2 linked regions of the Sus scrofa genome follow. The protein of the gene in region 1 interacts with the protein of each later gene in a biochemical or structural test. Links are inferred from orthologs where the notes say so. Each region holds a gene or a part of one and is shown on either strand. Other genes may lie near its edges.

Evidence for each region.
Region 2: the proteins of PKP4 (region 1) and PATJ interact in a test that uses a peptide from one of them, tested with the Homo sapiens proteins (2 studies listed by IntAct, with this or other methods). The link is inferred for Sus scrofa from reciprocal best matches to the Homo sapiens genes PKP4 and PATJ.

What each region holds. Positions count from the first base shown.
Region 1 is NC_010457.5:65,674,862-65,680,488, forward strand, and holds part of PKP4 (plakophilin-4), read left to right. Parts: intron 1-1,336; coding exon 1,337-1,465; intron 1,466-3,161; coding exon 3,162-3,235; intron 3,236-5,019; coding exon 5,020-5,268; 3' UTR 5,269-5,627. UniProt on the Homo sapiens protein: Plays a role as a regulator of Rho activity during cytokinesis. May play a role in junctional plaques.
Region 2 is NC_010448.4:150,602,174-150,608,595, reverse strand, and holds the start of PATJ (inaD-like protein), read left to right. Parts: upstream 1-3,030; 5' UTR 3,031-3,164; intron 3,165-6,422.

The sequences.
Region 1 (5,627 bases):
TTACACAAATGATCAGGATTCTTTAGGGACTTAGGAAGAAAGTGCTAGCGGAAGCAAGAGATTTAGCTGCTTAACAAAAGGCATATGGACAGGCAAAAAAATAATTTCAGACAAATTAGGACTTAGTTACTAAGCAGTGAACTTGTTTTGAGGACCTCTTAAATATACCTTTATATTTATCAGGAAGCCCTGTCCAAGTTCCTAGGACGCTCTCCAGATTCCACTGGAAGGCAGATATAATTCACATTTGTTTCTCCAGTTATTCTGAGGGCTGATCAAACGTCCCTCGGCACTAGTGAGGTATCCACCTATGGGCGCATCTCACTGCCTCGCTGATGTCATTGTGGGAGGCAGGTGGGGATATCCTGTGCCCTGCTACCTTCCTGAAAGTAAGCAGGATGGGAAGCACGTGGACACCACCCTTGTACGCTCACCCTATGTTACTGAAGTGACTTTCTTGGGGAAATATTTTGACATCAGTCTTCCTCTGAAAGCATCAATGCATGCAAATGCTGGTGACAGGGACTGGGGGCTGCTGCTTTCCAGTGGACTCAGTGATCACCCTTATTTATAATTAACTTCAGCACAAGCAAGATGATTTTCTAGTGAAAAAAGATGTGCAGTGTTTCCTTCTGTGCACAAATGTCCTACAGGCGACACATGGGTAAATAGGTTATTATTAAACGTTTGTCTCCAGCTGGGATAAAAAAGCTGGGCTTTTGTGAGGCTAGGCTTCTTAGCACCATGAGCTTCTTGATGACCAGGCTTATTGAATTTATAAATTTCCCTGACAGCTGATCGCCATAAAAAGAATTATAAATTTATGGGCTGGGCACTCTTATTCAAACTCATTTAGAGATGCAGATATTTTTGAAATCATCAGAAATCAAAACAAGCCATAAAACATCCATTTACTGAAGAACTATACGTAAAGGATAATAGATGGGTGTAACACAAGCAACTGAACTGAGATCATAAAGTTGCAAATGGAACTTGGGCACGACTGGGAATTACCATCCCTCAGTTTCAAAGGCTTAAGCAGGTCATTGAGACACCCCCCCCCCATCTCAGTGGAGAAATTGCACGATCCCTGCCCAATGTGGTGGCTGACAGTGCTGATCCTTGCAGTGGCCGACCTGCAGGTCACCTTCCAGGAACTGGGGCTGGCTGCCCTTTAATCACAGCACCTCTAAGAGTTGACTGTAGTGCCAGGCACGTGCACTTCTAATTACTTTGTTTTTCCAGAGAGGACTTTCTAGAGACACTGACAGTCTGATTTCTCTTTCTTCTCTCTTTCTCTCTCTCTCCCCCTCCCTCCTCTTGCCTCTCCCTTCAGTCGGCAGCACCTCTTCCTCACCAGCACTGTTAGGAATCAGAGACCCTCGCTCTGAATACGATAGGACCCAGCCACCTATGCAGTATTACAGTAGCCAAGGGGATGCCACTCATAGAGGCCTGTACCCTGGTAAGACGCCAGTTGGGTGTGTGATAGAGTATCTCGAAAAGCCGCGGGTCCCCAGGCACACGGCCAGTGGCCTGGGAGGTAACCTCTGCCTGCAATGAGATGGTCCCCCAGCAGCAAACACTGGTCCAGCCTCTCATCTTCTGCTTCAGGGGCTGTTGCCTTTTTGCTTGTTTTACTTGAAATAAGCTAAGGTGGTGGTCTGGTGACCACAAATAAAAAGAGCACTGTCTCCAAATGAGAAAGCATTTCTGGCTACGCAGCAGCGCTGGCCCTTTGTCCTGCCCCACCCTGCCCGAGCAGTCTTGCGCTGTGTGTTCCGGGGTCCCCGAACCCTGAGCTCTGTGACACCTGGCAGGGCCACATCTCCTGGACCAGCTCATAAATTCAAACCTGCGGATGGAGATCAATTCCATTTACATTCTCATGGGAAAGAGTTTGAATGAATAACAAAATATACAGTCTCCTCAGAGTGACTATTTTTTAAGAATAACAAAAGTGATGTTGTATAGCATTAATATTTTTATGTCCTATTCAGAAAGCCATGCATATTATTTAAAGAATGACAACCTGAAGGGTTACCAAGATTCATATTGTCTCCATTCTCAACTATCTTGCAAATTAGAACCACTTTAGAGGCTTCAAATAAGGCAGTGTGAGCTACCAAAAAAAAAGAAAACTCCTTTCTCAAAAAACCTATTTATTAAAAAGAAATAAATAAAAGCTGGTGGCAATTTAACAACTGCTGGGGGAGCAGTCTCAGTTGTGCTGTTGTCTTTGAAATTGTGATTTCACAGGACTGTTTACTAATCGACTATTGTTACTATGGCAATTAATAGCTCAGAAAATTGCAGATGCTACATTTCAGACATCAAGCTCTTTGCAGAGGAAATGCACAGACCAACCGAAGTGCATTGGTGCTTCAGGTCTGCAGCAGCCTGCTTTATTTTAAAGACCGCCTCCTTAGCATGCGCGCCCTTCTGTATCTTCTTTGCTTGCTTCAATAAACTAATTTGCCTCAAATATGTTTCATTTTCCTCATTAAAAAATAAAATAAAATCTCTGCTAGCCTTAACAATGCTAGAAGGGTAACCAGTGACAGCATCAGGAATCTGCCGTAGACTCCTAAAGACAGCTCTCTGATACCCAGGTTCTTTTTGTTTCAAAACATACTTAAACATGGCCTCCATGCGGCCACCCTGCTTGGAACACACCTGTGCCTGCTCCTTCCAGACCTGGGATTCTGAATCAAAGCTGTTCTAAAGGCCCGGAGCTTGTTCTGCTGTATTTCCCTCCCGCATCTGACCCAGTGCACTAGCTCAGAGCCCTGGAAAAGCCACGTTCCTCGGCTCAGGGGACAAGTCTGCTGTCAAGAGCCACCAGTTCAGTGCTCCCCACAGTGACCAGAGGTTGAGAAGGAACCCTTTGCGGATGAGCTATGCATTAGCATTGCTTTTTGGTAAAACACACAGCCTCTTTTTTTTTTTTTTTTTTTTTTTTTTTTTTGGCATATTCATCAGCCTTTACTGAATAGCCCTGGGGTAAGCAGCAGGCAGGCTTCATCCAGGGAACCCAAGCTGCTGACTGTCCGGGTCTGTGCTGGCAGCGGGGGAATCCAGGGCCTGTCAGGGAGTCCACACCACCTAATGGACCGCAGTAATGAGCACTAGTTTTAATTTCATAAAATATTTTCTTACAGGCTCCAGCAAACCTTCACCAATTTACATCAGTTCCTATTCCTCACCAGCAAGAGAACAAAATAGACGGCTACAGGTGAATTTGCAATGTCATTTTTACAGAAGGCCGATTAGCAGGGATGAACACAGTAAGGGGTCCGCGTGGGTTGACTCACCTGAGCTGGGCCGACACAGCAGGGGCCCAGGAGCTTTCCTGGGGATCTCTGCTCCTCGGAAGCTCATCCATGGTTTATGCAGATCACTTCCACAGTAGCCTCATGTCCTTGAGGAGGACTGAATTGGTACCACCATGCCCCTGACGGGCACCAACTGAGAAGTCTTACACTCCTATTCTTTGCCCAACAGTTTTCTTTTCCCTCTTTTTTTTTTTTTTTCTTTTTTTTTCTTCTTGTTACTCTCTAAGATCTCTTCCATCCTCTGGATGGGGAAAGGTTGGTAAGCACACCTCATTCTCTCATCTCATCCTTCTCTTTTTCACACGTACACCTCTTCCTCCATCTTCATGACTCCCTCCCATCCAAGCCACCATGGTTTGAATACACTTGAGGCCACAGCCAGATTTCTGGTATTCTCTGAGGTCAAAGTAGACTCAGGCCTGTGGGGATGAACCCCACCGTCCACCAGAGTGGGGACTAGTGGTGGTAACATTCAATCTCCACTTTCGGGGTCGGGGGGGCCTAAAATTCATTTTGGTCTTGCCTGATGCCATGTCCACCTAGGTCATTTGTTCTCTCCTCTTACCTTCCAGTAATACATGAGCAATTGGGGCTTCCCAAATGAACCTATATCCTGCTCTGCAGATGAGGATGCTCGTAACCTCCTTCCATTTTGTCGTCTTTGCTCTGTAAATAGAAGAACCTCTCCAGTTGTCATAATCTCTGCTGTAGTTTTTTAGTTAGGAGACGTAGCCTCAGAATCATAAGTCTAAGTTAAAAAAGCAAGTTTAGCTCTGATATGCTTATAATATTAGAAATGCACATAGTTCCAGAACATGGTATTGATATCTCTGTGATAAATTTGTTACATTTTAAGTTGGGGACTTGGGCTTGATTAAGAGGAGAGATAGGCATTCGAACCATTGCAGTTTTTCTCCAAACCTATTTGAAGAAATTCATGTGGGGTCAGCAATAAGACCAGACAAAAGGAAGTGGGGGCAGGGTGTGGATGCCCACATATTTCACCTTGCTTCCTTACAGATGGATTGTCTCTCAGCCCCAGCTTGGAGAAGTCTTTTCCTTTAGGATTTTATTTGCTCAAGTATCTCTTCTAATTATACTCCTCTCCTGCCTAGAGATTGCTTATTCCTTTAAAAGCACACTCCAGTTTCCAAAGTGTAACTGCTCTTCACCAAACTACATTTTTCTTCTAAAACAGAAGGATAGATTTGATTTTCATCTCTGAGGTAAAAGTTTTAAAAGATGGTTCAGCAATTATACAACCATCCAAAGCCCAAATATCCAGCCTTTCACTAAATTCATAATGTGCCACTGGTTCTCCTGTATCAAGGCAAAAATCAAGGGCACCCTTTCCTTGGGCATGCCCAGGACCTCCACAGCAGAACACAGAACTCTAGTGACAGAGAGGTAGCCAAGGGCTGTCTCAGCTTCTCCCAAGGCACTGACTTTTGAAGGCCATAAGATAGGACTTGAGCAAACTGCCAGCCCACCTGTAGACATAGTTTAAGACCCTTATATCCACTAGAAAACATACTGTGTGCGCCAGAAACAACTTTCAACCATAAATACACAAATACCAAATACTGCTTTAAAAATATGAAGCAGGAAGCCCATATTAATTTTTCCCTAAACATGTGCTTCCAAAAATTGCCTTGATTTATTTGCTCTTTCATTTTGTCAACAGCATCAACAGCTGTATTATAGTCAAGATGACTCCACCAGAAAGAACTTTGATGCATACAGATTGTATTTGCAGTCTCCTCATAGCTATGAAGATCCTTATTTTGATGACCGAGTTCACTTTCCAGCCTCTACTGATTATTCAACACAGTATGGACTGAAATCGACTACAAATTACATAGACTTTTATTCCACTAAACGACCTTCTTACAGAGCAGAACAGTACCCAGGGTCCCCGGACTCGTGGGTGTAGCATCGACATGCTCGGAGAGGAACTCTTTCTTTCTAACCTTGTTTGGGTTGAGATGAGAAGTCCGTCTTGCTGATTTGCTGATGAAATGTGAAAGTGACATGGAAGGAACGTGTGAAGAGCATATTTTTTTTCTTTTTTGAGGAATTATCAGGGAAGTGAGGCAACCTTTGGGAGAGAGGACTTTCTAAGCTCTACTTAGGTGTTAGATCTAATCACTTGTAGATTCTATAGTCTGGTGAAGGTGTGGGCGATGTGATGAGAGGTTTGAGAAATGGGTGAAATGAGATGGGGGACGTGTAGGTCAAATCAAATTAAAGATGATTTTTTTAATGTGAATAGAGTTATGTTCTGATAGTTTG
Region 2 (6,422 bases), on another chromosome or scaffold:
CCTTGCTTAGTGGGTTAGGGATCTAGTGTTGCTATGAGCTGTGGTGTAGGTTGCAGACGCCTCGGCTTGAATCCCGAGTTGCTGTGGCTCTGTCATAGGCCGGCAGCAACAGCTCTGGGTGCAGCCCTAAAAAGACAAAAATAAAATAAAATAAAAAAAGATACTCTTGAGGTTAAAAAAAACCCCCAAAACCAAAAGCCCCTCTGTGATCAGAATATGTTTACTACAGAGTATGTGCCTTAAAAACGTATGGAATAAGTTAAACCTTTCTTTACATTCCAGTTAAGAGCCAGAGGAAGGCTCACATTAAAATGACCACACTAAGAGTTCCTGTTGTGGCTCAGTGGAAATGAATCTGACTAGTAACCATGAGGTTGCTGGTTCGATCCCTGGCCTTGATCAGTAGGTTAAGGATCCTGCGTTGCTGTGAGCTATGGTGTAGCTTGCAGATGCATCTCGGATCTGGCATTGCTGTGGCTGTGGCATAGGCCAGCAGCTGTAGCTCTGATTAGACACTTAGCCTGGGAATCTCCATGTGCTGCTGGTGTGGCCGTGAAAAAAAAAAAAAGAAAAAAAAAAAAACACACTAAAATATGGAGAAAATGAGATTAAAGGTGATTGAAATGGATGTTTTCTGGGAATGGTCATTAAGGCCCTGGGGGAAGGAGGGCTCATAGGGCATTCCAAACATGGGAAAGGGGCTGAGTAACCAACAGAAAGGTCATGGTGTGCTCGTGCCAGGACAGAGAATGGACCAGACCATTTGACCCGAGTATCTTGGAGATGTGAAATGGAAGAGTAGGTTGAAGAACAAGCAAGGAGAGTTTAGAGGGCCTTGAATACTAGGAACAGAAGTCTGAACTTTGTTTCACAATTAAAAGTTATTTTTTGAGAAAGGGGAAATATGTTCATAACCATCATCAAATGTCAAAGAAGAGTCCTAATGTTTGCAAGGTGATGCTTTAAGATAACTGGTCTCCACCTGCATATTACCCCTCTCCTCCCCCCATTTAGGGAGCATTTCCCCATCCAAATAAATCCCTTCTAAAGCAAACCCTAAACACCTCTTAAGACCTGTTTAAGTTCTAACCAATGCTTTCAACAGGCATAATTTTTTTTCTGAAAGTTCGGGCTTCATTCTATTTAGTATTTTTTTTTTTTTTCTTTTTTCTTTTTAGGGCTGCACCCACAGCATATGGATGTTCTGGGTGAGGGGTCAAATTGGAGCTACAGCTGCCAGCCTACGGCACAGCCACAGCAACAGGGATCCAAGCCACATGGGTGACCTACATGCATAGCTATGCTGGATGCTTAACCCACTGAGCAAGGCCAGGGATGGAACCCGCATCTTCATGGATTCCAGTCAGATTCTTTTTTTTTTTTGTCTTTTTGCTATTTCTTTGGGCCGCACCCGCGGCATATGGAGGTTCCCAGGCTAGGGGTCGAATCGGAGCTGTAGCCACCGGCCTACGCCAGAGCCACAGCAACATGGGATCCGAGCCGCATCTGCAACCTACACCACAGCTCACGGCAACGCCGGATCGTCAACCCACTGAGCAAGGGCAGGGACTGAACCCGAAACCTCATGGTTCCTAGTCGGATTCGTTAACCACTGCGCCACGATGGGAACTCCCCAGTCAGATTCTTAATGAGCTGAACCACAAGGGGAACTCATTTTTTTGATAAATTATTATATAAATTTATTTCCCTCAATAAGTTTGTTCATTCCTAAGAGGCAGAAACCGTGCTGAAATTGTGTATCTCTTACCAAGTCTAAGAGATATTTTCTTTAAAAAAACAAAACAAACCCCCTAAAAATAACAGTATAAGGTGTCAAGTGTATGATTTTACAACAAATGTCCTTTTTTTTTTTTTGTCTTTTTGCCTTTTTCTAGGGCCACTCCCCGCGGCATATGGAAGGTTCCCAGGCTAGAGGTCTAATTGGAACTGAAGCCACTGGCCTATGCCAGAGCCACAGTAACGCAGGATCCAAGCCGTGTCTGCGACCCACACCACAGCTCACCGCAACGCGGGATCCCCAACCCAATGGGCAAGGCCAAGGATCGAACCCGCAACCCCACGGTTCCTAGTCGGCTTCGTTAACCACTGCAGCACAATGGGAACTCCAACAAATGTCCTTATGTTGTAGTTGTTTTGTAGATATCATCTTCCTGAGGCCAGGTACCCCATAATAAACATTTTACAATGACAGGTGTTTTACAAATATTGGATTTATTTAATGAATACATACCTGAAGACTGATTCTGTTTATCGTTAATGTGCACACTGTAGCAGACAAAATAAAACGCCTATCGTCAAAACTCTAAACTTAAAGAGAGTGGAATAAAGCCACTGCAGGTTTTACAGTCTTTCTCAAAATCAAGTTTTGACATCAAGGATAAAGATGTTAAAACATATAATGAAGTCAACATTGTACTTAGAGTCAAACGATCCCGTCAGGGTCCCAAACTTTGGACAAATTACTTAACCTGTAGGGGCTCAGTTTCTTCCCAGTAAAAGAGGTAAGGTATAACCTAGCGCCTGGACTCTCGCGGGCAAATTCTGCTAGACTGGGTTCTTGCCTTTCCTCAACTGAGAAAAAAATACCCCCGCCCCCCCAGTTATATTTCTTAGAATTTTATGTTGGGTCAGCTGATACAGAAAACACAAAGAAGGGGTGACAAAACGGGGAAGGAAAGGGACAAAAAGAGCAAGCAGACTTGACCTAATCCTTTGATCAATGTCCTTTCATTTCCTAGATCTCGGGTCTTGCTCTCCGCCCAGCCCTCTTACAACACCTGTCCAGCCGGTTCACTCCACTACTCAGCTTTTCGTCTGCCCACGCGGCCCCCAGACCCTACCTTTTTCAGGCTCTTTAACTTTCTCTCACTCAGTAGAGCTTCACCTGCGGAAAGGAGAGAAGCCCACTGCTCCCGCCTTCCCCCCCTGGAGTCGGCCCCCGGCTCCCCCGCCCGCCCCTCCCGCGCCACCTCGGCGCCCCGCCCCGGAGGGGAGGGGAGGGGAGGGGAGGCGTGAGGGGGAGGGCCTGCCAGGTGAGGCGCGGTCGCCCTGGGCCACTCACTTCCGCCCAGGTGAGGGAGGGCCGACGCCGAGGCCGCCCGCTCGCCAGCTTCGGGGTCCCACCCGCGCCTCTGCCCGACCAGGTAAGGCGGGGGTGGGGGGCGGGCGCGCGCTGGGCGGCGGGGACCCTGCCCCTCGAGCCGGCCGGGGCCGCTCTCCTCGCGTCCGGAGCCGCCGCCTCTGCCCCGGCGCGCGCTCCTCCCGCCCTCCGGGAGGAGTGGGCACTGAGGACCGAGGGCGCCGCTGGGCGACCAGTCGGTCCCGCCGAGGGTGCGGGACGCCGTCCTTCTGCGTCTGGCCTGGTGACCCCACCGTGGGACCCGCCCCCTGGGTGCAGGGCTCGCCGGAGGCCGCGGAGCCATCCGGCTCCAGCAGGCCCTACCGGCCCTCCAATCTCGGCCTGAGTCTGTACCGGGAGTGGCCGGGATCAAATTTTGCACCCGGATCTGTGCCTGTGCTTCGCCCCCCGAGCTGGGTGGAGTCTTTCCCCACCTGGTGATGGTGAAAGGAGTGAACAGGTGGTGGCCTGCTCGGGGTCCCGGAGGAGGGGGTGCCCAGTCCCCAGATGAGGGGAGGCTTGGCCCCGGCCGCATCTGGGCGCCTGGTGGTCATTTAGAGGAGTTCCCAGAACGGCGGTCAGGCCTGGGCTTTGCTTATCCCACTTTATAGGTGGGGAGGACCAGGCAGAAAGTGCTCTGGCTCCAGCCTTTGGGGAAATTGCTGGGTTCCTGCTTTAAGTCAAGCTCAGGAAAGCATTTTCAAATCCTTCCCCCTTCCTCCAAAGCGTCGCAGCCCTTCTGGAGGCCGAATTACTCTCCCCCTGGAGTGCTCTCTTGGTAGTTTGTCATATCTCCAGATGGCTCTTATCACTTTGGATTGGAAGTAGTTGTTTACTGGTTTGCGCGATTGAGAGGGTGGCCTTTAAGGGCCTTACTTCTCTAGGCTGCTTTTCAGCTGTGTTCAGAATCTGGCCATTGGTAGGTGCGCAGTAAACCAGTGTTCTTTCTTTCTTTTTTTTTTTTTTTTTTTTTTTTTTTGCTATTTCTTGGGCCGCTTCCGCGGCATATGGAGATTCCCAGGCTAGGGGTCTAATCGGAGACCCGTAGCCACCAGTCAACGCCAGAGCCACAGCAACGCGGGATCCGAGCAGTGTCTGCAACCTACACCACAGCTCACGGCAACGCCGGATCGTTAACCCACTGAGCAAAAGCAGGGACCGAACCCGACTACCATGGTTCCTAGTCGGATTCGTCAACCACTGCGCCACGACGGGAACTCCAAACCAGTGTTTCCTAAGTGAATGAAGACCTAAGGAGAACCAAGACCTTCTGAAGACCTAAGAGGAAAAGAAATGTTACACTGAAGATGGTAATACCACTTCTAGGCCGTCTAAACTCCTATAGGTTGTCTGTCAATTTATTTGCCCACAACTTTTTAAAAGAAAAGCTAGGGAGGAGTAGAGGTAAAAATCTCAAGTTGGTTCGTTTTGCAGCGTCAGCAAAGGTGACTATTAGCTAAAATGAGCTTGAGTTTCCAGACGCCTAATGACATTTTAAGGATTGTTAAAAAATTCAAATAATTAGAATGTTTAATAACGGAGCTTAGGAGTTCCCGCTCTGGCACAGTGGGCTCTCCAGTGTCTTGAGAGCGCTGGGACACAGGTTAAATCCCCGATCCCCTGCCGGCACAAGCGGGTTAGGGATCTGGTGTTGCAGGAGCTGCTGCTTAGGTTGCAACTGCAGCTTGGATCTGACCCCTAGCTTGGGAACTCCGTATGTCGCAGGGTGGCCAAAAAAGAAAAGGAAATACAAAACATAAAAGAGCTGGAAGGTAATTTACTGATAGAATTTACAAACCGAATTCTGAAGAGGTTTGCTTTTGCTAATTGAGATCCTGCATCGGTTACATAACATGAACTTGGTATCAGAATGATATTTGTGTTTAAAGCTGTAAATAAATTGTGTTAAGGCCCCATTTGTGTTTAATGATGCTAAATAAATTCAAGTAATAATATTTTTATAACTATAAATCTGACATATTCATTGTGGGAAAATTGGGGAGAATTTTCAAAAAAGAAACTAACAGCACACAGAAACCCACCTACCATTGAAAATAACCACTAATAAAATTATAGTATGTCTTTCAGTTAGTATTCTTAAAAAAGAAAAATCTTTGTATTTTCTCATGGTGAGTTCACTTTTAGAACCTTATGATTCTGAGACAGTGGTTCAGCATTCACTAATTCTTGCAGTTGCATTTTTATTTAAATGCAATTAATAATTATCCTTAAACTAAACAACCAAGCAGTCTGAATTTCCTTGCTTTGTTAAACTTTAACAAAAATGCATTAGGTTGGGGAAGCTGAAGTGGGATTTACTAAGTTTTAAGATTTTGCTCACCTTGGTAGTAAACTGAGAAACAGGACTATTCCACCTTAATATTTGAGATCGTTTGGCCATTACTTTTCCCCCTGTATTCAGATATTTTTGCAGATTTGGATGCTCTTTTTAAAGCACTTGTTCTAGGTTCTGGTGCAAATGGAGAGAAATTTAGAGCCTGTCAGTACCCTTCGTAGTTGTGGGATAGATCTAGGCTGAAGATGGAGAGCCTGCTTGCTTATTTATTATTGGCCATGCTCTTGGCAAGTGGAAGTTTCTGGGCCAGGGATCGAACCCATGCCAGTGACCCAGGTTGTTGTAGTGACCATGCCGGATTTTTAACCAGCTGCACCACAGGGGAACTCCCGTCTGCTTACTTTTTGCATTTGTGCAACCATGTAGCCTGTGGAGTTTGGAGACAAGGAATTTGGTCCACCTACCACATAACTCTTGGCAAGTTACTTGACTCTGGTCCATTTGTAAATGATCTACCTCATTGAGTTTGGGAAAGGTGAAGTGAAAGAAATAATGTTCAAGAATGTGCCTTGTAGGAGTTCACGTGGTGGTGCAGTGGAAACGAATCCGACTAGGAACCATGAGGTTGTGGGTTCGATCCCTGGCCTCATTCAGTAGGTCAAGGATCCAACGTTGCCATGAGCTATGGTGTAGGTCACAGATGTGGCTCGGATCTGGAGTGGCTGTGGTGTAGGTTGGCAGCTGTAACTCCAATTAGACCCCTAGTCTGGGAATATCCATGAGTGCTGCCCTAAAAACCAAAAAAAAAAAAAAAAAAAAAGTGCCTTGTAAACTGTAAGCCATTCTCTTCCCATTTTTTGCTCCTTCAGTGAGATGTTTAATTCTGATAAAATTAAGGAGTTATCTGCTGAAAAAGTCTTGAATGATTGACTGGCCCTCCTCCCAAGGTGGAATTAATTTCATTCAGTAGTAGCAGCTATGCTGTCT